4 linked regions of the Stegostoma tigrinum genome follow. The protein of the gene in region 1 interacts with the protein of each later gene in a pairwise test. Links are inferred from orthologs where the notes say so. Each region holds a gene or a part of one and is shown in the gene's direction. Other genes may lie near its edges.

Region 1 (7,778 bases):
AAATACAATATCTGAGATTCTGAACTACTAACTGGAGTAAAGCAAATTTAAGGGACAAATATGTAGCTTTCAGGGTACAGTGGGTATCTATCTATTTGTTCGAATATCCAAAACATATATGTCTTCCTTTGTCATCACTATAGCCCTCAAGTTACTGATCCATATACTGCAGTGAATTGCTTTGCAAACAGGCTTTTCAGATTAACAAGGTTTTTCATTCTTTTACAGGATCTGGGGCATCACTGGCAATGCCAGAATTTGTTGCCCAACCTGAAGTGTCCTTGAGCCATTATCATCTGTCTGGTGTGGGTGAGTCCACAGTTCTGTTAAAAGGGAGTTCTAGATTTCAAACATGGGTTTAGAACATATGGTCAAAAAAGGCTTAAATGAGTTGCTACAGTACACTGCTGTCTCTATGCATTACTAGTGGAGGAATAGAAGGTTCAAGTGAGTAGGTGAAATACCAATCCTGCAGACCCTTATCTTGGATGGCTTGAGCTTCTTCAGTATTGCAACAAGTACCTCTACCTCGCAGATGATCCACTGACTTTTGGGAGTCAGGTGGTGTGTTACACTGACAGAATTAATAGCCTGACTTGTTCTGGCTGGTCTAGCTGCTGCTGCTTAACAGCAACCTCCAACATGCTTACACTGGAGGATTCAGCAATGGTAATGCCACTGGAAAAACAGGAAATGTTTGAATTCTGTCTTGATGGAAATGGTCATCACCTGGCAGCTGTGTGGCACAAACATCACTTGCCATTTATTACTCAAAATCTAGTACAGTCCAGCTCTTGCTGCATGTATGGGTACAGACTGCTTCAGTATTTTAACAGTCGCATAGAATACTGTGCAATCAGCAAATATCCGCACTTCTGACCAGAGGCAGCTGAAAAATGATTGGCTTTAAAGTATACCTTGAAGAACACTTACAACTACGTCCAGGGAAGACCATAAGACATAGGAGTCGAAGTAAGGCCATTCGGCCCATTGAGTCCACTTCGCTTTTAATCATGGCTGATGGGCATTTCAACTCCATTTACCCGCACTCACCCCGGCCATCCCTTAATTCCGTGCGAGATCAAGAATTCATCAATCTCTGCCTTGGAGACATTTAACATCCTGGCCTCCACTGCGCTCCGAGGCAATGAATTCCACAGGCCCACCACTCTCTGGCTGAAGAAATGTCTCCTCATTTCCGTTCTAAATTTACCCCCTCTAAATCTAAGGCTGTGCCCACGGGTGCTAGTCTCCCCGCCTAACGGAAACAACTTCCCAGTGTCCACCCTTTCTAAGCCATGCATTATCTTGTACGTTTATATTAGATCTCCCCTCAACCTTCTAAACTCTAATGAATACAATCCCAGGAGCCTCAGCCGTTCATTCTATGTTAGGCCTACCATTCCAGGGATCATCCATGTGAATCTCTGCTGGACACGCTCCAGCGCCAGTATGTCCTTCCTGAGGTGTGGCGCCCAAAATTGGACACAGAATTCTAAATAGGGCCTAACTAGAGCTTTATAAAGTCTCAGAAGTACATCGCTGCTTTTATATTCCAACCCTCTTGAGATAAACGACAACATTACATTCACTTTCTTAATCATGGACTTTACCAGCTAGTTAACCTTTAGAGAATCCTGGACTAGCACCCCCAGATCCCTTTGTACTTTGGCTTTATGAATTTTCTCACCTTGTTACTTGATACACAGCCTCCAATAACCACAATCATCATCTATGTATCCGACTCCAAACCCCCACCATCCCAAAATTCCTGTTTAGCAAGGGCTCCTCAATGCCACTTGGTCAAACACTACATTGATATCAAGGGCAGTCAATCATACCTCGCCTCTTAAATTCAGCTCTTTTGTTAATGCTTGGATTACAGTTATAATGAGGTCAGGAACTGTATGACCTTGGTGGAGCCAAAACCGAGAACCAGCAAGTAGGTCACTGCTGTGTAACTGCTGCTTGTCGACTATACCGTCTAACCCTTTGCTGAAGTTTGAGAGCAGCCTGACAGGTGATAATTGGCTAGAATAACTGACTCTACCCAGGCAAGTTTACACATACTAGGTAATTGCTAGCTCTGTCCCTTTACTGGAACAGCCATGCTGAGGCAGTTAGCTTGAGCACATCCTCAGTATTATTGCCAGAATGCTGTCAGAGCCCAAAGCCTTAGTGGCGTGCAGTGCTTTCAGCTCCTTCTTGATATCATAAGAAGTGAACCAAATTGGCTGAAGACCCCCATCAGTGATGTCAGGGATTTCAGGAAGTTGGATCACCCCACAGCACTTCTGACCGAAGCTGTATGTAAAAATGAGGCCTGTCTTTCATTCTGATCGACGGCAGCCCTCTCTATCTTTGTGGTCTCCAGATCTATAACAGCGAGACAACTGCAACTCTCGAATGCTGACCAATCTTACCGTCTCTCCACCATTAGTGATCATGTATTGAGCTGCCAAGATCCTAAACTCTGAAACACCCTTCACACACCCAATACTGCTTACTTTCCATTTTTAATATTCACCTTTAAACATTATCTCCCTAAACACGTTTTTGGCCATCTGCCTTACCATTTCATCAACTAAAGGCCAGTGTCAAATTTGTTTCATAACGTTGATATGAAGTTTCTTCGAAATTTATAGACTGTTTATAAATCATAGTTATTTAAATATGATACCTGCATGGCTTTCATTACGTGCAGGTTTGGGACATTTTTGTCTGCCAGTTCTGGATGTTTTGGCATATGCACATCCTTCTTGGCTACCATTACCCCCTCCTTGAAGAGGAGCTCATAGATAGCAATACGATTCTTCTTAGGCATCAGCATCTGAAATAAAACAGAATAGGGGACTTCAACATTGGAATTTCACAAGATCTAGTTTGGTCATAACCTAATATTAGGTGATTCTCTTCCAATATGCACACGTTCACTACAACATTTATCTTATATTTTTGGTTAAGAGTAATCCAGAAGTACGCTGACAGTATCTGTGGCCTGGAACACTCAGTCCCTCCTGTTTATAACAACCTCCATCTGACAGCCTATAGAACAATTCTGAAGTTTGTTTTAAGAAAATGAAATAGCAACAAGGGGCTTATTACTAATTATAAATTTAGTCATTACTGATTAGAGACAAGATTTACAAAATTCAGTGTCCTAGTTAGACTCCCTCCTCCCTGTCCCTTTCAAAATTCCACCATAAGGTGTCCGTATTGTGAAATGCCTCTTCAAAGTTGTCTTTCTTCAACACCTACATGTCAATCTCTGTAGGAACGTCAACAGTAAAGGCAGCTAGAGACAGCGTAGGGCATATGCTTGGCTTCTTAAGGGGCCAGCCCAGATCAGGAGCCTGGGTTCTGTATTGAACATGTGACCTCCCACAATTTGGTAGTCTCTCTGCCCAAAGGCCCAGTGTTGAGGCACAACCTAAACTGCTGATGAAAACAGCTTTCAAACCAACAGTTTCATAATGAAGCTGAAACAAAGTAAATTAATCAAAAGATTGTTCTTATCTTTAGATGTATTTCTGTTAGTTACATCTGAAGATAAAATACAATCATTTTTGAAATATCACACTTAAGCTACTCAAGAGGCAGCTTCAGAAAGCGACTCCAAGCATACAATTTAGAAGTAGGTCAGCCAGCCCTTCAAATCTGCATTGCCAATTAATAAGCTCACAGCTGATCTGCATTCCAAATTCCACAATTCTATCTTTTATTATTCCTTAATAAGAGTGACAGTGGATTGATCATTATTTTCAACAATTCCAACTTCCTGAGGCAGAATATTCCATCACAGATCCACTGTAAAAAAATTCCCCTTACTTGCTGTAAAGAACATGACCCTAACTTTAAAAGTGTCCCCTCATTCCCGAATCACCCACCCTTTCTCTTTCCACCTTGTCAAGACCCTTGAGGATCTACAGGCTTGAATCAAATCACCCTCTGCTCTCTTGAATTCTAGTTGATATAATTTCAGCGTGTCCAAAGTTCCTCAGTAGACAAACTGCTAATTCCAGGTCTGAAATCAGTAAACTTCCTCTTAATCGCGTTTTCTTCTTAACATCAGTGCCTTTCCACCATGTGTATCGTCGATATTACGCTCAAACATCTATTACAGGAACTCATCTTTGAAACAGCGGTATAAGAGGAACACTTTCACCTCGGGGAAACCAGAAAGCTTGCATAAAATATTAACTTAATACTAACTATAACGGCACAAAACAGACACCTTTAAAACTACACAACATCCTAGAGAAACAACTTCCTGTAACTTTTATTCAGTCAATTAACAGAGCCTGAGGCCTACCCTCTCTATATCACCAAGACTGCAGCAGCAACTGGGAGGTATTTTATAAACTATTCAATAAATACTTATGAAATTATAGAAATGAGTGAGTGAATAAATACAGATGACGCGTGTCAACCACCATTGAGGTCTTGAAAGTTCACCCCAGCGGGATGTTAGAGATATTTAAGGATTTTGGACAGCCTTTCTTCACATACCTTGAACTCTAATAATGGGGCTGAAGCCGGAAAAGACCGAGCATGCGCACTCGGAGCCTCTTCCTCCTTCGGCGAGGGTCCTTAATATTGCAATCTGCGCTAGCTGCCCTGACTTAAATAAATCCTCGAATAATTAGAAGGAATAGCCGAGTTTGATATTTTTAAAAAAAATTATACTTAATAAATGCAAATTGTATTTTGTCCCGATCGGTATAAAAGATTGGGCGCGTTGGCCAACTGGGTCTCGAGGGTCAGCCGTTAGTACCGTTGATTTAAAGGAACGGTTGTGGTTGTGGCGGTAAGGGAACGATTGGTGTGTGCTTCTGCACAGGGGTACTACTGAGCTGCAGTGTTGTGGCCAACATGGAGACTTTTATCCCCGATTACAGTACTTCATTTGGGCGCAGTGATGGTGTTTCGGGCAGTCGTGCCTCCTGGGAATTGTAGTTCTCGGTGGATGTTGTTGGAGCAGCACCAGGACAGTGAGTGGCGCTTAGAAAATGCTGGGAATATTTATGCACAAATATAAGCTCAAATGGAAATATAGTGGGAAAATTTCTGCAAAATAGTAGGATGCTGGGAATATTTCTGCACAAATATAGGCTCAAATGGGAATCTAACTGAAATGTTGAAAATACAGCAAGAAGACTAATCTTTCATGTTGCTTGCTTTCAGAACTGCAATCTAATTATATAGAGCTGCAACCCTGCTTTCCCCCTCCCAATCCAATGAATAATTCACATGAAGAAACTTGAAAGTCTGATTCATGTGGCTGATGCTGATATTTAACATAATTTGTTCACGTTACCTAATTGGCTTATTTTCACTAACAGTTTCAGCCATTTCTGATTTATTTCATTGTGTCACTTGCTAACCTCAACCCCTTTCACATCCCAATCCTACCTTCTATAGATGCTGAGGAAAAATCTATCCCTTGTTGCACTTGCACCTGCCCAGAATCCCAACTGTCTACCTTTTTGGTGTCTGTAGCTATTGATTTATTCAGTTGGATTCTTCCTCCACCTTTTGATGCTGTAGGCCATGAGGAGGAAGAGTGAGGCACTTGTCACTGCCCTCCTGTTCTTTAGATGACATGTCCATCATGGGCCTCCTGCAGTGCCACAATGATGCCATGCAAAGGTTGCAGGAACAGCAACTCATATTCCACTTGGGCACCCTGCAGCCCAATGGTATCAATGTGGACTTCACCAGCTTCAAAATCTCCCCTTCCCCCACTGCATCCCAAAACAAGCCCAGTTCGCCCCCTCCCCCCACTGCACCACACAACCAGCCTAGCTCTTCCCCTCCCCCCACTGCATCCCAAAACCAGCACATCCTGTCTCTGCCTCCCTAACCTGTTCTTCCTCTCACCCATCCCTTCCTCCCACCCCACCCCTACCTACTAACCTCATCCCACCTCCTTGATCTATCCCCTCCCAACCTCCCCATCTACACTTTTCTCTCCATCTTCGGTCCACCTCCTCCTCTCTCCCTATTTATTCCAGAACCCTCACCCCATCCCCCTCTCTGATGAAGGGTCTAGGCCTGAAACGTCAGCTTTTGTGCTCCTGAGATGCTGCTTGGCCTGCTGTGTTCATCCAGCTTCACACTTTATTATCTAAGTATTCAGAGAGCTTCTGTCTTGGGTAGATTGAGGACCAATGTGCGGGATGCTGTTGGTTAACAGAGGAGGCTATCAGTGTGTTACAACATTTGCTGCAGTCATAATTTCAGCTATACATGAGCAGCATTGCCTATGTCTGCCAAGGTGATCATCACCCTTTTTATGCCATTGACTCCTTTCCAATTGCAGTAGACGACATAAACAACAAATCCTAAAGTTGCCATTCACCGCTGTTCAGGAAGGTAACTGAGGTCACTAGACCAGGGAAAACACTTATATTTTCTTCTCCTGGAGTAGAAAAATGAGTATGAGGGAGTGCTAGGTTTCATCTGCATTACAGCCCCCCATTACCTGTCCAGCAGTTGTATCATATGAAAGAGATTTTACTCCTTTAATATGTTAACGACCAAGCAGTCAACCTGCTCAAACAATGTTTTCACAGACGATTTAGAAGGACCTGTGCATTATCCCTGAGTGGGTATCCAGATTAGAGTTATCTGCTGCGTGTTGCGTAACTTTGCCGTAATCTGTCTTTACCACCATTTGGATAGGAAGAAGTGAGCTTTCAGTGCAACTGTGAGCTGTCAGGAGAGATTCCTTGATGGTGGGCAGCAGTGTCTAGTTGATGGACTTTGCACTTTGTCCATATTGGATAGAATACTCTCCATTCTGTGCAAAGACATAACATGGATTGGAGCATGACTTTTCGGTATACTGTGACCTTGTGCACCAGTTTGCTGGCAGACTGCATAGTGCAACTAGAATTTCCTGGACTAAGTTCCTCAGAATTCACTGATTGCTTCATTTTGAGCCCTTTATTTTTCAGTGCAATGAGGTGTTTCACTTGGAGCTGGTGTACTTGGTCACCATCTTTGAGCACTCTGACCTGAACTGCTTGGCCCACTCTCCAGGCAGCAGCAGGCACACAGCAACCTGGATCTCCTGGGAGTTGATGGAACTGCACTTATTTTTGGATTGGTGATAATCTCATTGGCAAATGAGTTCATGATGTAGCTAGGCTAAAATACAATCTCTCTTTCTGGTGAACTATACCAATGGCACCCTTCACGCTTTGGCCAGTGATTTTAATATGTGAAGACCTTCCCCTTGTCGAGAATGTAACATACATGGGATGCCAGTATCCATGCAGGTGCTGACAAGGGTGAGATTGAACACATATCTTCAGGAATCTTCCTCAGATAATGCCATACATCATTAGCACCTGCAAACAAAGACAAGAGCTTTCTTTTTGTATGAAGGAAGAGCAGAATGAAAGAAGTCACCAGTGAAAACATTTGCAGTTGAATAAATATCACATATTGACTGTGACAGTGCCTTTCTATTTATAGTCATGCATGATTAGGCTTTGATAGCTATGAAAGGTGGTGCAAATTTTAAACCAACAGATGTTAATTTAATGTTTCTGAACAAATTGTTTTAAATTCTTTGTAGTGATCAGTTGTAGAATTCATTGGTTTGCAGTGCTCTATTTATAGTGCAGTGATTATGCCAGCATTACCCACCCTGACCTGATAACCAAGGGTGTTTATTGGAGAGAAAATGTCAGCTTTTCCTTGTGGCACATTGATACTTGTTATGGGAGCTTGATAAATGCAATTGCCGTTCAATGTGATCTCCAGAACAC
Region 2 (7,506 bases), on another chromosome or scaffold:
CTCTCCCTCCCTCCATTTCGCATCTCTCCCTCTTTCTCCCTCCATCTCCCATTTCTCCCTCCATCTCCCGTCTCTCACTCCCTACCTCTTTCTCCCTCTGTCTCCCATCTCTCCCTCCCTCCCACTTTCTCCCTCCTTCTCCCATCTCCCCTTCCCTCCATCTCCCAAATCTCCCTCCCTCCTTCTCCAATCTCCCCCGTCCCATCTCTGCCTCCTCTCTCTTTCTCCATCTCCCATCTCTCTCTCCCTCCCATCTCTCTCTCCCTCCCTCCCTCTTTCTCCCATCTCTCTCTCCGTCCCTCCCTCTTTCTCCCATCTCTCCCTCTCACTACTTCCCTCATTCTCCCTCCATCTCCCATCTCTTCTTCCCTCCATTTCGCATCTCTCCATCTTTTTCCCTCCATCTCCCATCTCTCCCTCCATCTCCCATCTCTCTCTCCCTCCCTCCCTCTATTTTCCTCCATCTCCCATCACTCTCTCTCTCCCATCTCTTGCTCCCTACATCTCCCATCTATCCCTCCCTGTTTCTCCCTCCATCTCCCATCGCTCACCCCATCTCCCATTTCTCGCTCCATCTCCCATCTCTCGCTCCCTACCTCTTTCTCCCTCTATCTCCCATCTCTCCCTCCCTCCCATTTTGGCCCTCCATCTCCCATCTCCCTTCGCTCCATCTCCCATTTCTTCCTCCCTCCTTCTCCCATCTCCCCCTCTCCCATCTCTGCCTCCCTCTCTCTTTCTCCCTCCATCTCCCATCTCTCTCCCTCCCACTTTCTCCCATCTCTCCCTCTCACTACTTCCCTCATTCTCCCTCCATCTCCCATCTCTCCCTCCCTCCATTTTGCATCTCTACCTCTTCCTCCCTCCATCTCCCATCTCTCTCTCCCTCCTTCTTTCTCCCTCCATCTCCCATCTATCACTCCCACCCTCTTCCTCCCTCCACCTCCCATCTCCCTCCCTCCAACTCCCATCTCTCCCTCCCTGCCTCTTTCTCCCTCCATCTCCCATCTTTTTCTTCCTCCATCTCCCATCTCTCCTTCTTCCTCCCTCCCTCGTTCTCCCTCCATCTCCCATCTCTCACCCCATCTCCGATTTCTCACTCCATCTCCCATCTCTCAATCCCTACTTCTTTCTCCATCTATCTCCCATCTCTCCCTCCCTCCCACTTTCTCCCTCCATCTCCCATCTCTCCTTCCCTCCATCTCTCATCTCTCTCCCTCCCTCTTTCTCCCATCTCTCTCTCACTCCCTCCCTCCATCTCCCATCTCTCCTTCCCTCCATCTCCCATCTCTCTCTCCCTCCATCTCCCATCTCTCTCTCCCTCCCTCTTTCTCCCATCTCTCTCTCACTCCCTCCCTCCATCTCCCATCTCTCCCTCCCTCCATTTTGCATCTCTGCCTCTTTCTCCCTCCATCTCCCATCTCTCACTTCCTGTCCCATCTCACCCTCCAACTCCCATCTCTCCCTTCCTCCCTGTTTCTCCCATCGCTCTCTCCCTCCCTCTTTCTCCCTCCATCTCTGATCTCTCTCTCTCCCTCCATCTCCAATCACTCTCTCTCTCCCTCTCTCCATCTCCCATCCCTCCCTCTTTCTCCCTCCATCTCTCACCTCTCCCTACTTCTTACTCCCTCCAGCTCCTATCTCTGCCTCCCTCCCTGTTTCTCCCTCCATTTCCCATCTCTCCCTCTCACAAGTCTCCCTCCCTCTTTCTCACTCCATCTCCCACCTCTCCCTCCCGCTTACTCCCCCATCTCTCACTACCTCCCTCTTTCTCCCTCCATCTTTCTCTGCCTCCCTCCCTCTTTCTCTCTCCATCTTCCATCTCTCTATCCCTCCCTTCCTCTTTCTCCCTCCATGTCCCATCTCTCCCTCCCTCTTTCTCCCTCCATCTATCTCTGCCTCCCTCCCTCATTCTCGCTCCATCTCCCATATCTCCCTCACTCCCTCTTTCTCCCTTCATCTCCCATCTCTCCCTCCCTCTCCTTTCTCTCCCACCATCCTTCTCACTTCAACTCCCATCTCTCCCTCCCTCCCTCCCTCTTTCTCCCTCCATCTCCCAGCTCTCTCTCTCCCTCTTTCTCCCTACATCTCCCATCTCTCCCTCCCTCTTTCTCCCTGCATCTCCCATCTCTCCCTCCCTCTCCCATCTCTCCCTCCCTCCCTCTTTCTCATTCCATATCCCGTCTCTCCCTCCCTGCCTCTTTCTCACTCCATCTCCAATCTCTCTTTCCCTCCCTCCCACTATTTCCCTCCATCTCCCATTCCCTCCATCTCCCATCTCTCGCTCCCTCCTTCTCCCATCTACCCCCTCCCATCACTGCCTCCATCTCTCTTTCTCCCTCCATCTCCCATCTCTCTCTCCCTCCCTCTTTCTCCCATCACTTGCTCCCTCCCTCCCTCCCTCTTTCTCCCATCTCTCCCTCTCACAACTTCCCTCATTCTCCCTCCATCTCCCATCTCTCCCTCACTCGCTCTTTCTCCCTCCATCTCCCATCTCGCTCTCCCTATCTCTTTCTCCCATCTCTCTCTCCCTCCCTCTTTCTCCCATCTCTCCCTCTCACTACTTCCCTCATTCTCCCTCCATCTCCCATCTCTCCCTCCCTCCATTTCGCATCTCTCCCTCTTGCTCCCTCCAACTCCCATTTCTCTCTCCCACCATCTTTCTCCTTCCATCTCCCGTCTCTCCCTCCCTCCCTCCATCTCCCATCTCTCCCTCCCTCCCTATTTCTCCTTCCATCTCCCATCTCTCCCTCCCTATTTCTCCTTCCATCTCCCATCTCTCCCTCCCTCCGACTTTCTCCCTCCATTTCTCCCATCTCTGCCTCCCTCTATCTTTCTCCCTCCATCTCGCTCTCCCTCCCTCTTTCTCCCATCTCTTTCTCCCTCCCTCCCTCTTTCTCCTATCTCTCCCTCTCACTACTTCCCTCATTCTCCCTCCATTTCGCATCTCTCCCTCTTGCTCCCTCCATCTCCCATTTCTCTCTCCATCTCCCATCTCTCCCTCCATCTCCCAACTCTCCCTCCCTCACTCCTTCTTCCTCCATCTCCCATCTCTCTCCCTCTCCCATCTCTCGCTCCCTACATCTCCCATCTATCCCTCCTTCTTTCTCCCTCCATCTCCCATCTCTCCCTCCCTACATCTCCCATCTATCCCTCCCACTTTCTCCCATCTCTCCCTCCCTCTCCCATCTTTCGCTCCCGCCATCTCCCATCTCTCCCTCCCTCTTTCTCCCTCTATCTCCCATCTCTCTCTCCTTCCCTCTTTCTCCCTCCATCTCCCATGTCTCCCTCCCTCTTTCTCCCATTTCTCCCTCTCCCTCAATCCATCTCCCATCTCTCCCTCTCCCATCTCTCGCTCCCTCCATCTCCCATCTCTCCCTCCCTCTTTTTCCCTCTATGTCCCATCTCTCCCTCCCCCGGTCTTTCTCCCTCCATCTCCCATCTCCCTCACTCTTTCTCCCTCCATCTCATATCTCTCCCTCCCTCTTTCTCCTCCATCTCCCATCTCTCTCTCCCTCTTCCATCTCTCTCTCCCTCTCCCATCTCTCCCTCCATCTCCCATCTCTCCCTCCATCCCTCTTTCTCCCATCTCTCTGCCCCTCCCTCTTTCTCCCTCCATCTCCGATCTCTCTCTCTCTCTCTCCCTCCATCTCTGATCCCTCTCTCTCTCCATCTTATCATCTCCCATTTCTCCCTCTTCCTCCCTCTCTGTTTCTCCCTCCATTTCCCATCTCTCCCTCTCCCATCTCTCCCTCTCCCATGTCTCCCTCCCTCCTTCTCCCATCTCTCCCTCCCTCCATCTCCGATCTCTCTCTCTCCCTCTTTCTTCATCCATCTCCGATCTCTCTCTTTCCCTCCATTTCTGATCACTCTCTCTCTCCATCTTACCATCTCCCATCTCTCCCTCTTCGTCCCTCCCTGTTTCTCCCTCCATTTCCCATCTCTCCCTCTCCCATGTCTCCCTCCCTCTTTCTCACTCCATCTCTCTCTGCCATCTCTCTCTCCTTCCCTCCTTCTATTCCCCATCTGTCTATCCCATCCCCTCTCTCTCCCATCCCTCTTTCCTTTCCTGCCTTCCTCCCCCATCTCCCATTTCTCCATCCCTCCCTCTCTCTGTCCCTTCCGATCTCTCCATCTCTCCCTCTCGCTATCCCTTCTGATCTCTCTCTACCTTCCCCTCTTGTGTATCCCTCCCACCTTTCCTCCCTCCCACTGTCCCCCATCTCTCTATCCCCCCTCACTCTATCCCTCCCTCTCTTCTTTCCTCTCTCTCTATCCCTCCCTGTCTCCATCCCTCTATTCCCCATCTGTATATCCCTCCCTCTATTTCCCATCCCTCTATCCCTTCTTCCCACTATTCCTTTGTCTTTCTCTCTGTCTCGAGCTGGGATCTGACAGCCGGAACTGACGTAGGCCCCCACACCGGCGATTGACATCACCAGGCCCGGAGTCCAGCCAATGGGCTGCGGGAATGGGCGGGTTTTGTTGCCGCGCGACCGGCGGCAGGTTGGTGCGAGAGGGCGGACGCAGCAGGGTCGGCTGAGAGAACTGCCCCGTCCCCGGCCTCCAGCCCTCGGTCTCCGGTCCTCTCAGGATGGAGACGGCGCCGACAGCCGTCCCCGGGGTTTGAGGCCGTGTTCTCATTCTCCGAGTAACCGGCCAAGGAGAGCGAGTTTCACAAAGTCGCAATCGGTGGGTTTATGACCTGGGGACTCGGAATAGGGGGAGAACTGCCAGACAATTACCCCGCCCCCCGGGGGTGGCGGGGAGGGGGGACGTTGATAGTGGGGACTCGGGCGGGCGACAGTGAGGGGTGAAAGGGGTTGAAGGAGGCAGTGAGGGGGGACGTGGGGGAGGGGAGGGGTTAGGGTAGGTTAGTGAGGTGGAGCCGGGGGGATCAGCCAGGGTGAGTCTGGGGGTGCAGGACTGGTCAGTGAGGGGAACCCCAAGAAACGGCGGGGGGGCGGTGGTGAGGGAGGAGGAAGGCCAGGTTAGTGAGGGTGACCCTGGGGTGGGGTGAGGGTTGTGCGTCCTGAAGAGGAATCTCTTGGGCGGGGGTTGGGGGTGGTGTTCTCTGTTGGGGGTAGGCTTTGGGTGGGGTGTGTGCCCTGAGGGGTAGACTCTGGGTGTGTGGTGTGTGTGTGTGTCTGCATGCACTGAGGGGTTGGCTCTGAGGGTAGACCATGAGAGTGGGATGTGGGGGAGTGTGTCCTGAGGGGGAGATCTGCGCTGGCTTGGGAGGATCTGGGTTGTGTGTGTGTGTGTGTGTGTGTGTGTGTGTGTGTGTGTATGGAGAGCAATGCCGGTGGAAGTGGAGGGGGTGCATCTGTCAAGACGGTCATGCTATTCTGAAAGGAGTCGGGGTTGATATTTTCTTCCGGGAGAATGTAGTTGACAGAGGTGGGAATGTTGTTGAGATGGTATGCGCTGGAGCAGGAAGATTTCCCTGGGGTTGGGGGTGTGGGGGTCTAGATTGGTTGGGATGTCACTGTTTAATATGGTGGACTGTCTGTAGTCTTTGAGTCTGAGTGCATTCACTTGGAAGTGAAAGCCCCATCTGATATTTCTGGTATCATACTTTAGCTGTCCCGTCTTTGTGGCCTAAATGTCTGCAAGTTTTGTGCAGTGATAAATGTTCAGAAGGGTTGATTTGCTTGTGTTGTGTTGATCATGCCTTACTTATTTTTTTCGATTGTCAGCTTTGTGTTAATTGTAATCTTTTGTTGTGTAAATGTCTGTAATAGACAAACTGATATCTTTAAAAAGACAGATGGTGAGTTTTTTTTCAATGATGAATAATGCACTTTGTTTTCAGAGGCAAGAGCATCAGCATTTTTGAGGTGGTGAAATCTAGACGTTTTTCGATTTTAAATGTTCTGCACTGATGTTTCAATTGAGCAGATAAATGTCAATGTTTGAGGGTGAATTTAAATAATACGTCACTAGCTCCTGCGACAACTTTTACAAGTCATTGAAATCTTAAAATACATTTTTGTGATTGTTTTTTGTGGTCATTTAAAACATTTTGGTAAAGTGCTTCAGTTGTTGGCTACCAGTTTTTTTTTGTTACTTGTAGTTGTGTGCTAGTTGTTCTGTTTGCATTTATTTTAAACTGGTATCTGTGTCTCAGTTTCCAGGCCTGATGATTCAACGTCATTTGAACCCATAGAGGAATGACTGGTTGAATTGACAGCAACTTCCTGCCACAGCCATGCAGGTTACTGGAGTACTTGGCAATCCACATTGGAATCTGTCATCCTGTTTGTGATTTTTTTTCAATGAACGTGTAGAAGAAATGTTATCGCTCTTAAAGGATCTACACTTGTATGTCTAAATTATAAACTTGGAAAATTGAAGCTGTGTTTTATACCTGAACTCATCTGTCCAAAACCAAGTTATAATAATCATGGCTTCAGTTTGGAAACGGCTGCAACGTGTGGGAAAGCATGCATCCAAGTTCCAATTTGTGGCTTCATACCAAGAATTAATGGTAGAGTGCACAAAAAAATGGTGAGTATAATAAATTTATTGTTGTATCAGATTGTAAGTGTTGTACTATTGGCCTGCAGCCATTGTCTTCCTGCAACTAATGATGTAATTTATTCTTTGCAAAGACCAACTCAGATTATGGTGAATTAGGCAGGGTTGAGAAACCTCTGATGTTTGGAGAGAACTGGAGGACACTCTTGTGGTTATTAAAATTGTGCATGAGTTCATGTCATTAATAGATTGGTAATGATCATCTTCCAGGTTTGGGAATGCTCTGGGATTAATTTTCACTTGCATCTGAGATTGTTAGATAAACCTTTTTTCGGCATGGTCAAGGGTCTAGTACATGAAAAAAAACCAGGACTTTCCAGCTGACAAGTTCTCATATTTATTTATAATACAATATTAGCAACACCAATATCACTTGCAACTGATATATTTTGCACCGTGGTACTTGTGCCATTATCTTGGTACAAAAAGATATTGAATCACAGATTCATACAACATGGAAACAGATTCTTCTGTCCAATTAGTCCATGCCGGCCATGTTCCCGAATTAAACTAGTCCCATTAGCCTGCACTTGGCCCATATCTCTCCAAATTGTACCTAATTGTGAGCTTATCCAAATGCCTTTTAAATGTTGTAACTGTACCTGCATCCATCACTTTCTCTAGTAGTTCATTCCACACATGAACCACTCTCTGTAAACAGAAATTTGCCTCGTGTCTTTTTTTGAAACTCTCACCTCTTACCTTAAATATGCTCCCTAGTTTTGAACTCCCCCTGCCCTAGAGAAAAGACCCTTGCTATTCACCTTTTATCTATGCCCCTCACGATTTATAAACCTCTGTAATGTCACCCCTCAACTTCCTACATTTCAGTGGAAAAAGTCCCAGCCTATTTTTATAACTCAAACCCTCTGTTCCTGGCAACATCCTGGTAAATCTTTTCTGAAACCTCTCCAATTTAATAATATTCTTCCTACAGCAGGGTGACCAGAACTGCACACAGTACTCCAG
Region 3 (7,906 bases), on another chromosome or scaffold:
CCACAAGTGTTTGTTGTTTGAGGAACTCCAGCTCATCAACCCTGAACCTGAGTTTCAAACACTGCGACACATCAGAGAGGGGGAGAGTTGACTCGACGCTGTGTTTCAGGAGGCAGACAAACTCCTTAGATTAACGACCTCAAATTTGGTCAGTGGTCAAAGACGGGAGAGTGTGATTATGAGTGAGGCAAGTAGAGGGATCCAGTAGATGGTGCTGAAAAAGCCTCAGCCTTTGAGCTTGTCTAACAGGTTTGAGATTCTTGCTCCCTGTGTGGATGACAGTAGGGGCTAGAGGGCGAATTAGCAAACTGATAGCACCATGGCACAGGGAGCCATTCAAGAGGAGTGAAAAAGGAAAATGTAGGGGACAGTATAGTCAGGGGAGTAGGCACTGTTTCCTGTGGCCAGGATCGAGAGTCCCAAGGGCTGTGTTGCCTGCCTGGTGCCTAGGTTCAATTTCTCTTGTTTGGGCTGCAGAGGAACTGGCGTGAGAAAGATACAGTTGTTGTAGTAAATGTAGGTACCAGTAATATAGCTAGAAAGAGAATGGAGGTTCTGCTAAAGGAGTATGGGCAGCCAGCACTAAATTAAAAAGAAGAGTCAAAAAGGTGTTATTCTCTGGATTATAACTGAGTCACAAGCAAATTGGCACAGGGCAGATGATTAAAGAGGTAGATGCAAGGCTCACAAACTGGTGTGGGACTAACAGGTTCAAATTCATTGTTCATTGGCACTAGTATTCGGGAAGGAGGGAGCTGGATGGGCTCCACCAGAATCGATATGGGACCAGAGTCCTGGCGAATCACATAATTAACACCGTGGATAGGACTTTAAACTAAGTAGTGGGGGTGGATTCAACTATGAGAAAGGGGGCAGTCAACACAGGGCTGGCTTGAGGGTGTTGTGCTTAAGTGCATGCAATATACAAAGCAAGATAAAAGAGTTTTAGCACAGATTGAAATTGGCACAGATAATGTTGTGGGTATCGCAGTGACATGGCTGCAAGGAGAACAGGGATGGAAACTAAATTTTCAAGGATCTGTATCCAATCAAAAAGACAGGCAGATGGGCAGACAGGGTGGAATTACCTTTCTGGTAAAAATGAAATTCAATCAATCACTAGAAGTGACATCGAGTCAGAAGGCGTGGAATCTGTGTGGGTAGAGTTGTAGACTGGCCTAGGGAAAAAGGCCCTGATTGGAGTTGTGTACAAGCCAGCCAGCAGTAGCTAGGATGTGGGGAATCAGGAGAAGGAAAAACCATGTCAGAAAAGCACTTTTCCAATAATCATGTAGGACTTCAATATGCAGGTGGACAAAGAAAAAGAATTTGTGGAATGTCTCTGAGATTTTGTTTTGGAACAGTTTGTGGTAGACCCCATAGGTGGTAAGCAGTTCTGGATTTGGTGATGTGTAATGAAGCAGACTTGATTAGGAAGCTGAAGGTGAGGGAACCTTAGGGACTGTGAACATAATATGATAGAATTCACCTTGCAATTTGACAAGAAGCAGCTAGAATTAATACAATTAACTAGCATACAGATAATTAAAATGAAATTGGGAAGGAGCTGGCCAGAATTGATTGGAAGGCCAGCCTAGGAGGGTAGATGGTGGATCAACAATGTCAGGAGTTTCTGCAGTAATTCAGGAGATATAGCAGAAATTTTCCCCAAGGAAGATGAAACATACTCATTGGAAGACAAGGCAACCATGGTTGACAAGGGAAATCAGGGGCAGCATAAAAGCACAAGGAAAGGCAGACAATGTGGCAAAGATTAGTGGGAAAATTAGACAATTGGAAAGCCTTAAAAAGCCAGCAGAGGATAACTAATCAAGTAATAAGGGAGAAGAAGATTAAGTATGACAGTAAGGTATCTAGTAATATGAAAAAGATTGCAAATGTTTATTTTTAGATATCCAAAAGATGAAAGCGAATTGAGTGGACATTTGACAGCTGGAAAATGAAGCTGGAGAAGGGGTAGTGGGGAACAAAGAAACAGCATTGAACTGAATAGGTAATTTGCATCAGTTTTCACAGTAGACAACACTACAAAACAAGCCAGAACTTCAACAGTCAGGGGCAGAGGTGAGTGCAGTGGCCATCACTAAGGAGAAGGTGTTAGGGAAGCTGAAAGGTCGAAAGGTGGATAAATCATATGGAGCAGATGGACTATACCCCAGAGTTCTGAAGGAAATAGCTGAGGAGATTTTGGAGGCATTGACGGTCATCTTTCAGGAATCACCAGAATCAGGAAGAGTGCCAGAGGACTGGAAAATGAGGAATGTCACACCCCTATTTAAGAAGGAAAGGAGGCAGAAGACTGGAAACTATATATAACAAGATGTGGAGCTGGATGAACACAGCGGGCCAAGCAGCATCTTAGGAGCAGGAAAGCTGACGTTTCAGGAGGGGTCTAGGCCAAAACGTCGGCTTTCCTGCTCCTAAGATGCTGCTTGGCCTGCTGTGTTCATCCAGCTCCACACCATGTTATCTCGGATTCTCCAGTATCTGCAGTTCCTATTATCTCTGATACAGGAAACTATAGACTGTTTAGCCTGGCCTCAGTCATTGGTAAGATTTAAGAGATTAGATTTTACATTATTAAGGATGAGATTGCAGAGTTCTTGGAAGTGCATGATAAGGTAGGGCTGAGTCAACACGGCTTCGTCAAGAGGAAATCATGCCTGACAAATCAGTTTGAATTCTTTGAGGAAGTAACAGCAAGTTAGACAAAGTAGAATGAGAGGACATGATCCATTTGGATTTTCAGAAGGCCTTTGACAAAGTGCCGCACAGGAGGCTGCTAAGTAAGATAAGAGCTCATTATGTTAGAAGCAAGGCACAGATAGAGGATTAGCTGACCGGCAGAAACAGAGAGTATGGATAAAGGGGTCTTTTTCAGGATGGCAGCTGGTGATGAGTGGAGTTCATGGGATCAGCATTGGGACCACAACTACTCATGTTGTACATTAACCATCTGGTCAAAGGAACTAAGGACGTTATTGCTACATATGCAGATGATACAAAGATAGGTGGAGGGCCAGGTCGTGTTGAGGAAGTGGGGAGGCTGGAGAAGGATTTGGACAGGCTAGGGAAATGGGTAAAAAACTAGCAGAAGGAATACAATGTGGGAAAATGTAAGGTTCTGCAATTTGATGGCAAGAATAGAGGCATTGACTACTTTTTAAATGGAGAAAGATTTTGGAAACCTGAAGCACAAAGGGATTTGGGAGCCCTAATTCAGGATTCTGTTCGGGTTAACTTGCAGTTTCAGTTGGCAGTCAGGAAGGCAAATGCAATGTTAACAGTCATTTCAAGATGACTGGAATGCACGAATACAGATGCACTGCTGAGGTTGTATAAGTCTGTGGTGAGAAGCATTTGAAATATTGTGAGCAGTTTTGGGACATGTACTTAAGGAAAGATGGGCTGGCCTTGGAGGGGTCCAGAGAAGGTTACAAAAATGATCCGAGGGATGAAGAATTTGTCATAAGGAGCATTTGAGGACACTGGGTCTGTATTCAATGGAGTTTTGAAAGCTGAAGGTGGATTTGATTGAAATTTACAGACTACTGAGAGATTTGGATAGTGTGGGCATGGAAAAATGTTTCCACAAGGAGGAGGGACCAGGATCCCAGGGCACAGTCTCAAAGCAAAGCAGTGACTTTTTAGAATAGAGATGAGGAAAATTTCTTCAGGCAGAGGCTGGTGAACATGTGGAACTCGTTGCCAGTGTGGGTGTGGAGGGCCAGTCATTGAGTATATTTAAGATGGAGGCAGATAGATTTTGATTGGACAGGGGATCAAGGTTTAAGAGGAGAGGGCAGGAGGGTGCAGTTATGAAACAGATCAGTGATGGAGTGGACTTGATGGCCCAAATGGCCTAATTCTGCTCCAAAATCATGGTTTTGTACACTATCTGCCCTCTTGTTCCTCCTTTGCCTCTTTCAAAAGTACATACACAAACTTCAATCAGTTCTCAGAAGTCACAAGTCCAAACGTTGAGTATTTTTCTCTCCTCAGATACTGACAGACTTGAATCTTTGTGTTTGTCACATTGAAACAGCATTTGATGTACATCCACATAATTACTTCCCAACTCGTCAAAAAGGCATAAAGGTTTTAATGAGTCAAAACGGAAAGCAAAGTTGAGGAGAGCAGGGAGTTATCCCAGAGTTTCGGGTGGAAGCAACTGAAGACAACTCGCTATGAGAAGTTGTGTGTTCGAAACTTATGTTGCTTCTATGATCTGAATCAGAGGAACGTAGATATCCGGGGTGGTGTAGCTACAAGAGTTCGTAGAGAATAGATTTTGAATTTATGAGTTTCCTGGTGTCTCAGCTGCGTTGAAGTCTCGTGTAGCTCTCAACCGTGGCTACTGTAACTTGTGCTTCATGTATGTGTTAATTTGTTAATAACGTTGTCTCAGCGATATCCACATATGAATATAGGCAATCCTGAAGTTTTGAAAATACATTAAAAAGAATTAAGCAGCACGTTTATGGTGTAATTGAAGACATCATAGGTTTATTTGATCGGAGATATACTTTGCACGACATCAGACAAAAGTGCCTTTTAAAACGTGCATTCCAAAACTATGCAGTCAATGTAGTCCAATCAAACCATGATCAAAAGAAAACAATCTGAATATAACTGCAAAGTACTTTTGTACCTCAGTCTGGGTTGGACAAAGCGGTGATTGACAGGAGATCCCGAGGAAGGTGGTTAATTTCATGCAGGAGTTTGGAGACAGTAGCAGAGAGAGAAGGGCGCATTCAAAAATAAGGTTGCTTTATTTTCATTAATTAATCAAGAAAGGCGTCGAGGGAGCGAATGAAAGGAGAGAGAACGCGACAAGAGCTGCTGTGTGAAATTGTTGCCAGTGTAAGTGCCTCTATTTGGAGTAGTATCTGGGCAGTGACTGATGTGCGGTGATTGCACATAGTTTACTGCTTATTCACTGGTCTAATTTTGCAGACAGTTGTCGTGCGTGTATGTACGTGAATTAGAAAGAAGAGCCGATCATATTTGTGACCCAGACTTTTGGAACCGTTGGTTGCGAGCACACGACCAAGTGCATTTTCCGCGCGTAGAGACTCCGATAAAGTTTGGGAGTGGGCGGAAAAGAAAGGTGATTTCTGATTAATTGGTTCCATCGCACTTTAGTGAAAGGAGCTTGGTGGTAACCCGGAGCGAGGTTGGTTGTGGACGACATAATAATAAAAAAAGCAGTACGAGATTGGAACCAGGGAGACGGCGACGATGGCGACAATTGCTCGGGCGCCGGCCGGGTATGTTGACATTTCAAAAAGTTCGTTCTGCAACAAACACCTGGAATTCGATGCGAAATATTCGTGGCCGGTTGAGTAAATAATACAGTCGGAGAATGACGGGCATGAGGGTGGGGGTGTTGAATATTAACAGTGTCAGTAATCGTTGGCCCTGGGAACGGTTGGTCAGGCTTTGCCCGTTTCCCTGGAAACGCTGCCCCGCGAAGGGCGGCGGCGGCGCTCACACCTGTCAACGGTCAAACTGAGGGGCTACTGTGCAGGCAGAAGTCGGGCTTTATCTGAAATGCTGGACCAGTTGCACTAGGTTTGTTTTAAAAGGGTCTATTAACTTTAACAAGACTTTTTTTTAAGAGAAAGAAGGCCCGATCAGGCCTTGTATTTATCACAACACCGGAGAAGTAGATTGGACATCTCAGTCTGTAACAGCTGGTCAAAATTCCTCGTTATTTTCTCCACAAGAGTACAACTCTTAACGTTCACTTTTCGTATTGATCTGTGATTGTGTTGATATAGTCACGGCTTCCCTCCATATCTTGCTACATGATAACGCCATCAAACAAGATCCTGATGTGTAAGGGTAGATATTAATAATTTTAATGCAGCTCACTAGAATATTTTTTTCAATCGGACACTCTGGGCATTGAGACTAAGTTGCTAATGCGGTTTGATTCATAGTGAACGACAAAGTGCAATCGTTAATTTCAACGTTGTCAGTCAATGTCGCTTACTAAGCAGCACCGCAATCACAATACGCAAACGATTTCATATTTGGTTTCCTTTCTTATTTTGGGAAATATATTTATTTTTGAATGATACTCTGTTTAGTGTGTTTATATTCAAGGTTTTGCCCCAAAGGAAGCCATTCATATCCGTTGCTTGAAATGTTTATTTTCGAGGGCAAAGCAAATGCTTTAACAATGAGGTAATTGCACACATCCGTCCTTAAAGGTTTATTTTCTTTCAGCTGCATTTCTCTAACTGTGTGGATTTTGAAAACTCACAGTAGAGGGTCATAAACCTTTATTTTATGAGATAACAAGGTGCACAGCTAGATGAACACAGCAGGTCAAGCAGCATCAGAGGAGCAAGAAGGCTAACGTTTCGGGCCTAGACTCTTCTTCAGAACTGACCCTTCTTGTCTGAAGAAGGGTCTAGTCCCGAAACGTCAGCCTTCCTGCTCCTCTGACGCTGCCTGGCCTGCTGTGTTCATCCAGCTCTACACCTTGTTATCTCAGATTCTCCAACATCTGCAGTTCCTACTGTCTCTGAAACAACCCTTATTTTATGGTAGATTGAAGGAATTCCTTTTGCTTTCTGCTTAATGGTTAAAACAGCTGTTTTTCAGTGTTTTGCTCCTTTTTTCTAATTTTATCTTCTACATTTATGTGAGTGCCAAAGGCCAGAAACTAGATGCCCGTACATCTGTATTTATGCACAAATAAATGTCACCAGGAATTATTCGTTGGCAGTCCAGAGTAACAGTCTTGACAGATTGTGAGTAGCTGAAGGCTCTTATAGTTTCCAGTTTTTGCCCCATTTGAGATTAACTTGCCAGATATTAATTAAGTTTAAAATGTGACATGAAATCACCCAGGCTGTGTGAAGTTTAAAGTTACATACAGCCACGAGATTGTCAGGCCAAGTTCAGGCATTGACCTTGAGTAATATATAGTTTATCATCATTTTTCACTTGCTAAATTTTCTGGTTGTTGTATCTTGTAGGGCTGAGAATTAGTAAGAGAAGTCAGGAAATTTTCATGGAACTTCGCAATTATAACAATGTTAAAATGTTAGACAAATGATTATTGCTCAAAGTTGTTGAACATTTCAAGCCATTCATTGTTTTTGGTAACTCCTATGAAAGTAAAGCACTTAGAAGCCGAGTTTCATGTCAATCAACTTAAAGTGGTATCTATGGCTGACCTGCATTTGTAACATATTGGAAAGAAATTATGTCCATGATCTCTTCTGATATTCTGCATCACACATCAGTCATTCTTGATAGAAAGTAAAACTTAGAGCCATACAGCGCAGAAGTGGCCCTTCAACCCTTTGAGTTTATGCCAACTTAGCTACCCTACTTCCAGCACTTGGCCCATTGCCTTTACTGTTATGTGTCTGTGTACTTTATAATGGTTGTTAGGTTTCCAATTTACAATCCCCACTCCAGGCAGTGTATTACAGAATCCTGCCACCCTCTGGATGCCTCAAGTGCCCTCTAATCCTCCTGCTGCTATTTGCCTTAAAGTAATGCCCCTTGTTATTGACCATGTAACTAAGATGAATAACTGTTTCCTATCCACCCTACCCATGCCCCTCATTATTTTGTGCACCTCAGTCTTTTCTGCTCTAAAGACAGCAACCTGAGCCTATCCAGTCTCTCTTCATAGCTAAAATGATCCATCATGGGCAACATCCTGATGAGTCACCTCTGCATCTATTCCAGTGCATTCACGGACCAGACTCCAGCTGTGGCCTGGCCAAAGTTTTGTACAGCCCCGAAGTAATTTCTCTGCTCTTATAATGTATGCCAGAGCAAGCATCCTGTGTGCCCTCTTTAACTATCTTATTAACTATCCTGTTGTGTTCAGGGATCTGTGGACAAGCAGCCCAAA
Region 4 (7,629 bases), on another chromosome or scaffold:
TGGTTCATTAACGTCCTTTAGGGAAGGAAACTGCCGTTGTTACCTGGTCTAGCCTACATGTGAATCCAGATCCACAGCAATTTGGTTGACTCTTAACTAGGGATGGGCAAAAAATGCAGGCCCAGACAGTGACAACTTCATCCCATGAATGAATAAAAAGACAACAAAAAAATACTGGGGAGTGGAGTTTGTGTTGGGGACTAGACAAAATGGCTTCTTGGAAATCCAAATCTCTGGAACACAATCCACAAAGCCTCATGATTTACAGTCAAATTCTTTGACCAGCTTGAATAATACAAAAGAGCATTCTTGGTGTTGTTCTCAGAATTTGTTTTTGCATTGTTCAGGCAACAAAGCCACTATCAAAGGTTCCTCTGAAAGATCTAAAACCTAAAACATTTAGTGACTCTGGAAGTAGGTGATTCAGGGGAAAGTTGGTGTTTTTTTTCAGGGTTGAGTAAAGGGAATTGAGACACAAGCCAGCCTTGACTTAGTTAATGATGTGGAATAGGATTGAAGGGCTGGATAGCCTTCTGCTGTTCCCATGTGCAGTCATGAAACAGGTGACACTTGGTTCTTCCCTTGTCAAACAACATCCAAACTTTTGATATGAAACTTTGTTGTGAAAATTGAATGTGCTTGAATTGCAATCTGATCAGATTGCTGGGCTAGCCATCCAGGCATCCGAACTAATACTGTGTGGACATAGATTTAAATCCCAGCAACGCAGCCGGTGGATTCTAAATTCAACTGATAATTCTGGAATCAGAACCCAATCCCAGTAACACTGACTAATCCCACTGGGTTCACTGATTCCCTTCAGGGAAGGAAATCTGCCAGCCTAACTTGCCTGTTCTGCATGTCGCTCCCAGCTCCACAGCAATGTGTGTGTCTATTAAATACCCTCTGAGGTGACCCTTGCACAGTTAAAGGGTAATTAGGGTTGGACAACAAATGCCAGTCTGGCCGTAGCATCCACATTGCATTAAGGAGTAAAGAAAAATAATCAGTGTTATGATGATCAATGATGAAAACAAACTGAGCAGAGGAAGCTATTATTTTGTCATTCTGGAGCTATTAAACAAAATTAAAATAAAAAGGATCAAGACCATTTTGTGTCTAACAATAGCTGCCAAGCATTCAGAATAGCAAATGTGTGATAGTGAAGGCTGACACTCCTGCTATGAACCATCTGCATTCAGCAATGCCTAGTGCCTATTTTTATGTTACAGCCAACAGCAACTTCACTCCTGAATTGTACAAATGTTCACAAATTTGGCTAAACCCAGCACTATGTTTTTTGGGTGTTGAATGTGTCTTGATACCCACACATTGATTTGAAAGTTAATGCTCTTACCTGGTCAGTACCAAGCCCATCACATTCTCTTATCTCTGCGACTGCAAACTCAATACTATCAGTCACCTCATCATAAAGAATTTGAATATTCTTGAAAAGTGAGACATCTTGCTGGAGCTTTTCATCTTTTAGTCTTCAGGACAAATGCAAGAATGCCAAATTTCAAACCATCAGAAAAACTTATACTCCAGGGTCTTGCTGATTGGTTGATCCAGTGGGATCCTGAGCCCAGGGCTTGACAACTCTGTTTGCTTTTCGTTTCTGTTTTCCTGTCCTTTCTTCTTTTACTCTTACCTCTTGGTGAAAAGCTCAGTTGCGGCGATGGCATTGATGGCAGAGACTGGGCCCAACAGCACAGCGAGTTTGAGTTCCTGGCAGCGTTTTGGCACAGAGGTGGCGGTGAGTTTGGGCTGGTGCGGTACCTGGTGACATCAGTGGTGTCTGCATCGGTGAGGCCCAGTGAAGACTGGCAATGGTGTTGATGGAGGTGAGATGGTGCTGACAAGTAGTGACTTTCACTCCAGCAGCGATGGCAAATGGGACTTGTGCCTGACCACCAGGTCCGTGGCTCATGACAGAGTACTTAACAAGTTTGAAGTTTTGGTGTACTTTGTGTTTTATGATGGCGCAAAAGAGTGACACTATACAACACTTTTCACTACATTTTGTAACAAGATACACGTGACAATAAACTTTGTAAAGGGGAATCTGGCTCCATGTTTGAAGGGAGTACATAAAGGTGAGTAAGGCTAATGGGCGCCATGGTGGCTGTGCGGTTAGTGTCAGTGATATAGGTTTGATTCTAGCCTCGGGTGACTGGAGTTTGTGCGTTCTCCCTATGTCTGCGTGAAGTTTCCTCAGGGTGCTCTGGTTTCCTCCCACGGTCCAGAGACGTGCAGGTTAGGTGAATTGGCCATGCTAAATTGCCCATAGTGTTCAGCAATGTGGATGAGTCATGGAAAATGCAGGGTTACAGGAGCAGGATGGGATGTTCTTGAAAAGGTTGGTGCAGATGTGATGGGCTGAATGGCCTCTATCTGTGCTGTAGAGATTCCTTAATGAATGTTTTTGCAAAGACAGACTTTCCATGGCCAACATGTTATGGCGTGAGATGTGAATCCAGAGATCCCGACCTAAAGGCAGGGCTACTGCTACTGAGTCGCAAGACCTTTCGTCTATCCTAAATAATTCTATGATGCAAACCTTAGAAAACTTTTCTTGGGCTACAAACTGATTATTGCTCCTACAATGATGGGGTCCTTGGTAAGGCTTGTAGACTGAAACAGTTAGGCAAATGTTGTGCAGTTCTTCAAGCTGGTGATTGCCTTTGAGCATTTCCCTCCCTCATTTTCCCACTTCCTCTAACTTTTTTATGATTGATTTATTGTTGCTTGTATTTTACAGTGAAAAGTTTCAACTGCCACCAAAATCCAGTGCCAATTTGAATATCTTATGAATAAAATGAGAGAACTGAAAGAAAGCCCCTCCTCGTTACACTGCCTGCACCATGAGTCTTGTACCATCAACCCACTTCCATTTCCTCACTGCAGCCTGTGCTGGGCCCACCAATGTTGGTGTCATCACTCTTCAGGTGCCACTGGGCTCACCTCGCTACCGCCACCACCAGGAGCCATACCACACCCTCACACATCCTGCAACCAGGAGCCCCAGGATCTGGGCCTGACCACCACCAGGAGCCCCTGGCTCTGGGCCAAGCACCACCAGGAGCCCCCAGGCTCTGGGCCGGGCACCACCAGGACCCCCCGGGCTCTGGGCCGGGCACCGCCAGGAGCACCTGGGCTCTGGGATGGGCACCGCCAGGAGCTCCTGGGCTCTAGGCCGAGCACCGGCAGGAGCCCCCGGGCTCTGGGCCGAGCACCATCAGGAGCCCCTGGCTCTGCTGCCAGGCTGGTCAGTAACTGCCTTGTGACGAGCCCCACTCTGGCTGCCCTCCTCCACAATGTCATTTTGTCTGCCACCCTTACAGAAAGAAGATGAAAAGGGTCTGGAACGAAGGGAGGAAGTGGCAGGTCTGGAGTGAATGGAGCCAGGAGCGTGCATGCTGCTTACATTGCTGGTGCCGCTACCTCCAGGCAGGATTATGAGAAAACTCGGCCTCCAGTCTTTGTTAGATGAACAGACAAAAGAATTTGATGCCAAAGCATCATGGGCCTCCTGCACTGCCACAATGATGCCACCCGAAGGTTGCAGGAACAATAACTCATATTCCGCCTGGGAACCCTGCAGCCATATGGTATCAATGTGGACTTCACCAGTTTCAAAATCTCCCCTTCCCCTACTGCATCCCTAAACCAGCCCAGTTCGTCCCCTCCCCCCACTGCACCACACAACCAGCCCAGCTCTTCCCCCCCCCACCCACTGCATCCCAAAACCAGTCCAACCTGTCTCTGCCTCCCTAACCGGTTCTTCCTCTCACCCATCCCTTCCTCCCATCCCAAGCCGCACCCCCATCTACCTACTAACCTCATCCCACCTCCTTGACCTGTCCGTCTTCCCTGGACTGACCTATCCCCTCCCTACCTCCCCACCTATACTCTCTCCACCTATCTTCTTTTCTCTCCATCTTCGGTCCGCCTCCCCCTCTCTCCCTATTTATTCCAGAGCCCTCACCCCATCCCCCTCTCTGATGAAGGATCTAGGCCCGAAACATCGGCTTTTGTGCTCCTGAGATGCTGCTTGGCCTGCTGTGTTCATCCAGCCTCACATTTTATTATCTTGGATTCTCCAGCATCTGCAGTTCCCATTATCTTTGATGCCAAAGCAGTTATGTTCTCATCAAATGCCGTGACAGAGCTTGGTTAATCTCAGCGCCGGTGTCACCGGGATGCTGCTCGTTGCTGAGCTTTGACTTTGCTGCTGGACTGCACTCTTCACAAAGACAGATGTGGATCGGTCAGGAGAAATCACACGGAGACCGCTGGCTTCATCATCTCCCCTGGGGGAGAGAAAAGCAAACCTGTGACAGGGGGAGGCCAGTCGACATACACCTGAAACATTCAGAACTTGAGACAGGTGGAGAGCGCCACATATCCCCCAGTGAGAAGAATTCAGGTGTGATCAAACTGAAGATTAGATAAAGAAATAATTGACTAACCTGGAGTGGCTAATGTGCAAAGGGTACTAACTCAGAGAGAGGTATTGCACATGCTACCAGCATGCTAACAGCAACTTGCTTGAATCTGACTGTAACCTGCACAGCTCCCTGCTGTTTTATTAATGTATAGAGTTGATTGACATCTTGAAGCATTGAATGCAGTCACTTGGAGTAAAGCAAAGGCTCCCTGGTTGCTGAGCTGTTGGTGATATTCAGCAAACGGTGTCCTCCCAGTTTTGAAGAGGGGCTAGATTGTTGGGGGATGGGGTCTGATGCTGCAGCAGACTGCAGTGTGCCAGGGAGACGGGACCGCCAGTATTCCTGAAGCAGAAGCTGGACTCTGTGATCCTGGCTGGGCAGAGAGGGGTAGCAGCAGCAGGAGGACGTTCTCTGAGGAAGGGAACAGTATTTATCAGGAGCTGCATGGCCATCAGACATTTGCGATCGGTTATGAAACGGATCTGTCTCTGTGCTGCCTCTCTGTCAGTATGTTTGCTTTCTCTTTCTCCCTTATATTTTCATCCTGCTCACTGTGTGCTATGGTTAAATAGCATTGATGCTGCATTGCATTCGTTCGAATGAGCACGTTTTAAAAACCCACTCATTCACGAACTGTAGGTGTTGTCGGGTCGCAACTGGGGAACATTCAGCATTTAATGTATTGTTACAGCAAATCAGTCAGTACTTTTTTATAACAATCAGCTTTGTATGAGTTTGATTTTACATCTCCTTGAGCCTGCAGGAGGGTCTTGGGCTATGTTTATTTGCGAGCCAGGAGCAAAGTGCTGTCACTGTACTATAGAGGACAGCGTGAGAGGAAGGGGCCCAAGGATACCTCAGGCATTTGGGCATTGAATGGGGCTGCTGGTATCCATCAGATCGATACACTAATCATCTAAACAACTGAGCTAACTGCAGCCCTCTATGGTTTTACATGCTTCCATGTAAAAGAAAACGTAAAAGTGAATTATGAAAAATGTATGAAAAATGCTTTTTGTTATACTTTGCTTTAACCACACAATAGATGGTAGCTGTCTATTGATTGCTAGATCTGACCGGACAGATTCTGTTGGAATTGCCGTTTCTGCCCACGGTACTTTGTGATGTTACAGGGCTCTTTCATTAGGCATGACATTAAGACTCAAAACCCCTAACTACACGGATCGAATCTCTCCTGAGACGAATAAATTAAAAATTTTCATTTCTGTACCACTCTGTGAGATGGTTTAGCTCAGTTGTCTGGATGGCTGGTTTGTGAAATAGAGTGATACTACTAGTGTGTGTTCAATCCCTGTCCTGTCTGAGGTTACCTTTCCCCTTGCCTGGGGATATGAGGACCCTTAGGTTAAAGAACCTTTGATGAGATTGTAATCCCGTGGTCTGGTAAGATTATGGTTACATATCCTTTAGGTCCGTTTCCAGGATATCCCATCTTTGAAATGGATTAGCTATTATAATGTAGCTTCAGTTTCCACAGGAGAAACTCTGATAGACGACACAGTGATTATGACTGGGTAGTCTGTCCTTTTAGTGATGTTGATTTAGAGACCAGAATTAGTGAGGACACCATGTAAATAAACTACACCCACATGCAATAAGTTACTGCTAAACTTTGCCCCAGTCAGTGTTATTTCACTTTAATGTTGTTCAAATAATTTGGGTTATATATCTGTGCTGTGTTGCCACATTGACCATAATGTTGCTTTCTGCAGATTTCTTGTTCTATGGCCTGTACATCTCACTCTGAACATGATGTGCTTCCCAGTACTATGGGTGTCAGTACACCTCTTCCCTCTGCCCCTGTTGTCAGTGCTGCTCCTGTCCTTTCACTCTCTGGTGTCACCTTCACAATCTTAGGTGCCTGTTACCACCAACAGGGACTTGTTCGGTTGATTCCTCTTAGAACATAGAACATAGAACAACACAGCGCAGAACAGGCCGTTCGGCCCATGATGTTGTGCCGACCTGTGAACTAATCTAAGCCCATCCCCCGACACTATCCCATCATCATCCATTTGCTTATCCAAGGACTGTTTAAATGCCCCTAATGTGGCTGAGTTAACTACATTGGCAGGCAGGGCATTCCATGCCCTTACCACTCTCTGAGTAAAGAACCTGCCTCTGACATCTGTCTGAAATCTATCACCCCTCAATTCGCAGCTATGCCCCCTCGTGCAAGCTGATGTCATCATCCTAGGAAAAAGACTCTCACTGTCCACTCTATCTAATCCTCTGATCTTGCACTCTTAGCTTGCACTCAGCTGCTACTTGCACCAACCAAACTCTCCACTCGGTGTGATCAGAGATAATAGGAACTGCAGATGCTGGAGAATCTGAGGTAACACAAGTGTGGGGCTGGATGAACACAGCAGGCCAAGCAGCATCTCAGGAGCACAAAAGCTGATGTTTCGGGCCGAGACCCTTCATCAGAAAAGGTGGATGGGGAGAGGATTCTGAAATAAATAGGGAGAGAGCGGGAGGCGGACTGAAGATGGATAAAGGAGAAAATAGGAGGAGAGGAGAGTATAAGTGGGGAGGTAGAGAGGGGATAGGGCAGTCCAGGGAGGAAGGACAGGTCAAGGAGGTGGGATGAGGTTAGTAGGTAGGAAATGGAGGTGTAGCTTGAGGTGGGAGGAGGGGATAGATGAGAGAAAGAACAGGTTAGGGAGGCGAGGACAAGCTGGGTTGGTTTTGGGATGCAGTGGGAGAGGGGAGGTTTTGAAGCTTGTGAAATCCACATTGATACCATTGGGCTGCAGGGTTCCCAAGCGGAATATGAGTTGCTGTTCCTGCAACCTTCGGGTGGCGTCATTGTGGCACTGCAGGAGGCCCAGGATGAACATGTCATCTAAGGAATGGGAGGGGGAGTTAAAATGGTTCATGACTGGGAGGTGCAGCTGTTTATTGTGAACCGAGCGTAGGTGTTCTGTAAAGCGGTCCTCAAGCCTCCGCTTGGTTTCCCCAATGTAGAGGAAGCCACATCGTGAACAGCGGATGCAGTATACCACATTGGCGGATGTGCAGGTGAACATCTGTTTGATGTGGAAAGTCATCTTGGGGCCTGGGATGTGGGTGAGGGAGGAGGTATGGGGGCAAATATATGGCGGAAGTGTCGGACGATGATTTGTTGTATCCGGAGGTTGGTGGGTGGTATGTG

What was found.
Region 2: the proteins of pacsin1b (region 1) and ehbp1 interact in a two-hybrid assay, tested with the Homo sapiens proteins (2 studies listed by BioGRID and IntAct). The link is inferred for Stegostoma tigrinum from reciprocal best matches to the Homo sapiens genes PACSIN1 and EHBP1.
Region 3: the proteins of pacsin1b (region 1) and cobl interact in binary tests that used the Homo sapiens proteins (3 or more experiments, as listed by UniProt). The link is inferred for Stegostoma tigrinum from reciprocal best matches to the Homo sapiens genes PACSIN1 and COBL.
Region 4: the proteins of pacsin1b (region 1) and ankycorbin-like interact in a two-hybrid assay, tested with the Homo sapiens proteins (2 studies listed by BioGRID and IntAct). The link is inferred for Stegostoma tigrinum from reciprocal best matches to the Homo sapiens genes PACSIN1 and ANKRD24.

What each region holds. Positions count from the first base shown.
Region 1 is NC_081374.1:38,805,506-38,813,283, reverse strand, and holds the start of pacsin1b (protein kinase C and casein kinase substrate in neurons protein 1), read left to right. Parts: upstream 1-4,761; 5' UTR 4,762-4,991; intron 4,992-7,778. Other genes in the region: rps10 (40S ribosomal protein S10), read right to left, coding at 2,681-2,830. UniProt on the Homo sapiens protein: Plays a role in the reorganization of the microtubule cytoskeleton via its interaction with MAPT; this decreases microtubule stability and inhibits MAPT-induced microtubule polymerization.
Region 2 is NC_081362.1:1,092,258-1,099,763, forward strand, and holds the start of ehbp1 (EH domain-binding protein 1), read left to right. Parts: upstream 1-4,490; 5' UTR 4,491-4,689; intron 4,690-6,127; 5' UTR 6,128-6,403; coding exon 6,404-6,507; intron 6,508-7,506. UniProt on the Homo sapiens protein: May play a role in actin reorganization. Links clathrin-mediated endocytosis to the actin cytoskeleton. May act as Rab effector protein and play a role in vesicle trafficking.
Region 3 is NC_081355.1:94,435,228-94,443,133, reverse strand, and holds the start of cobl (protein cordon-bleu), read left to right. Parts: upstream 1-4,890; 5' UTR 4,891-5,262; coding exon 5,263-5,291; intron 5,292-5,495; exon of another isoform or gene 5,496-5,595; intron 5,596-7,906.
Region 4 is NC_081383.1:37,879,093-37,886,721, forward strand, and holds the start of ankycorbin-like, read left to right. Parts: upstream 1-4,613; 5' UTR 4,614-4,744; coding exon 4,745-4,954; intron 4,955-7,629. UniProt on the Homo sapiens protein: Component of the stereocilia rootlet in hair cells of inner ear.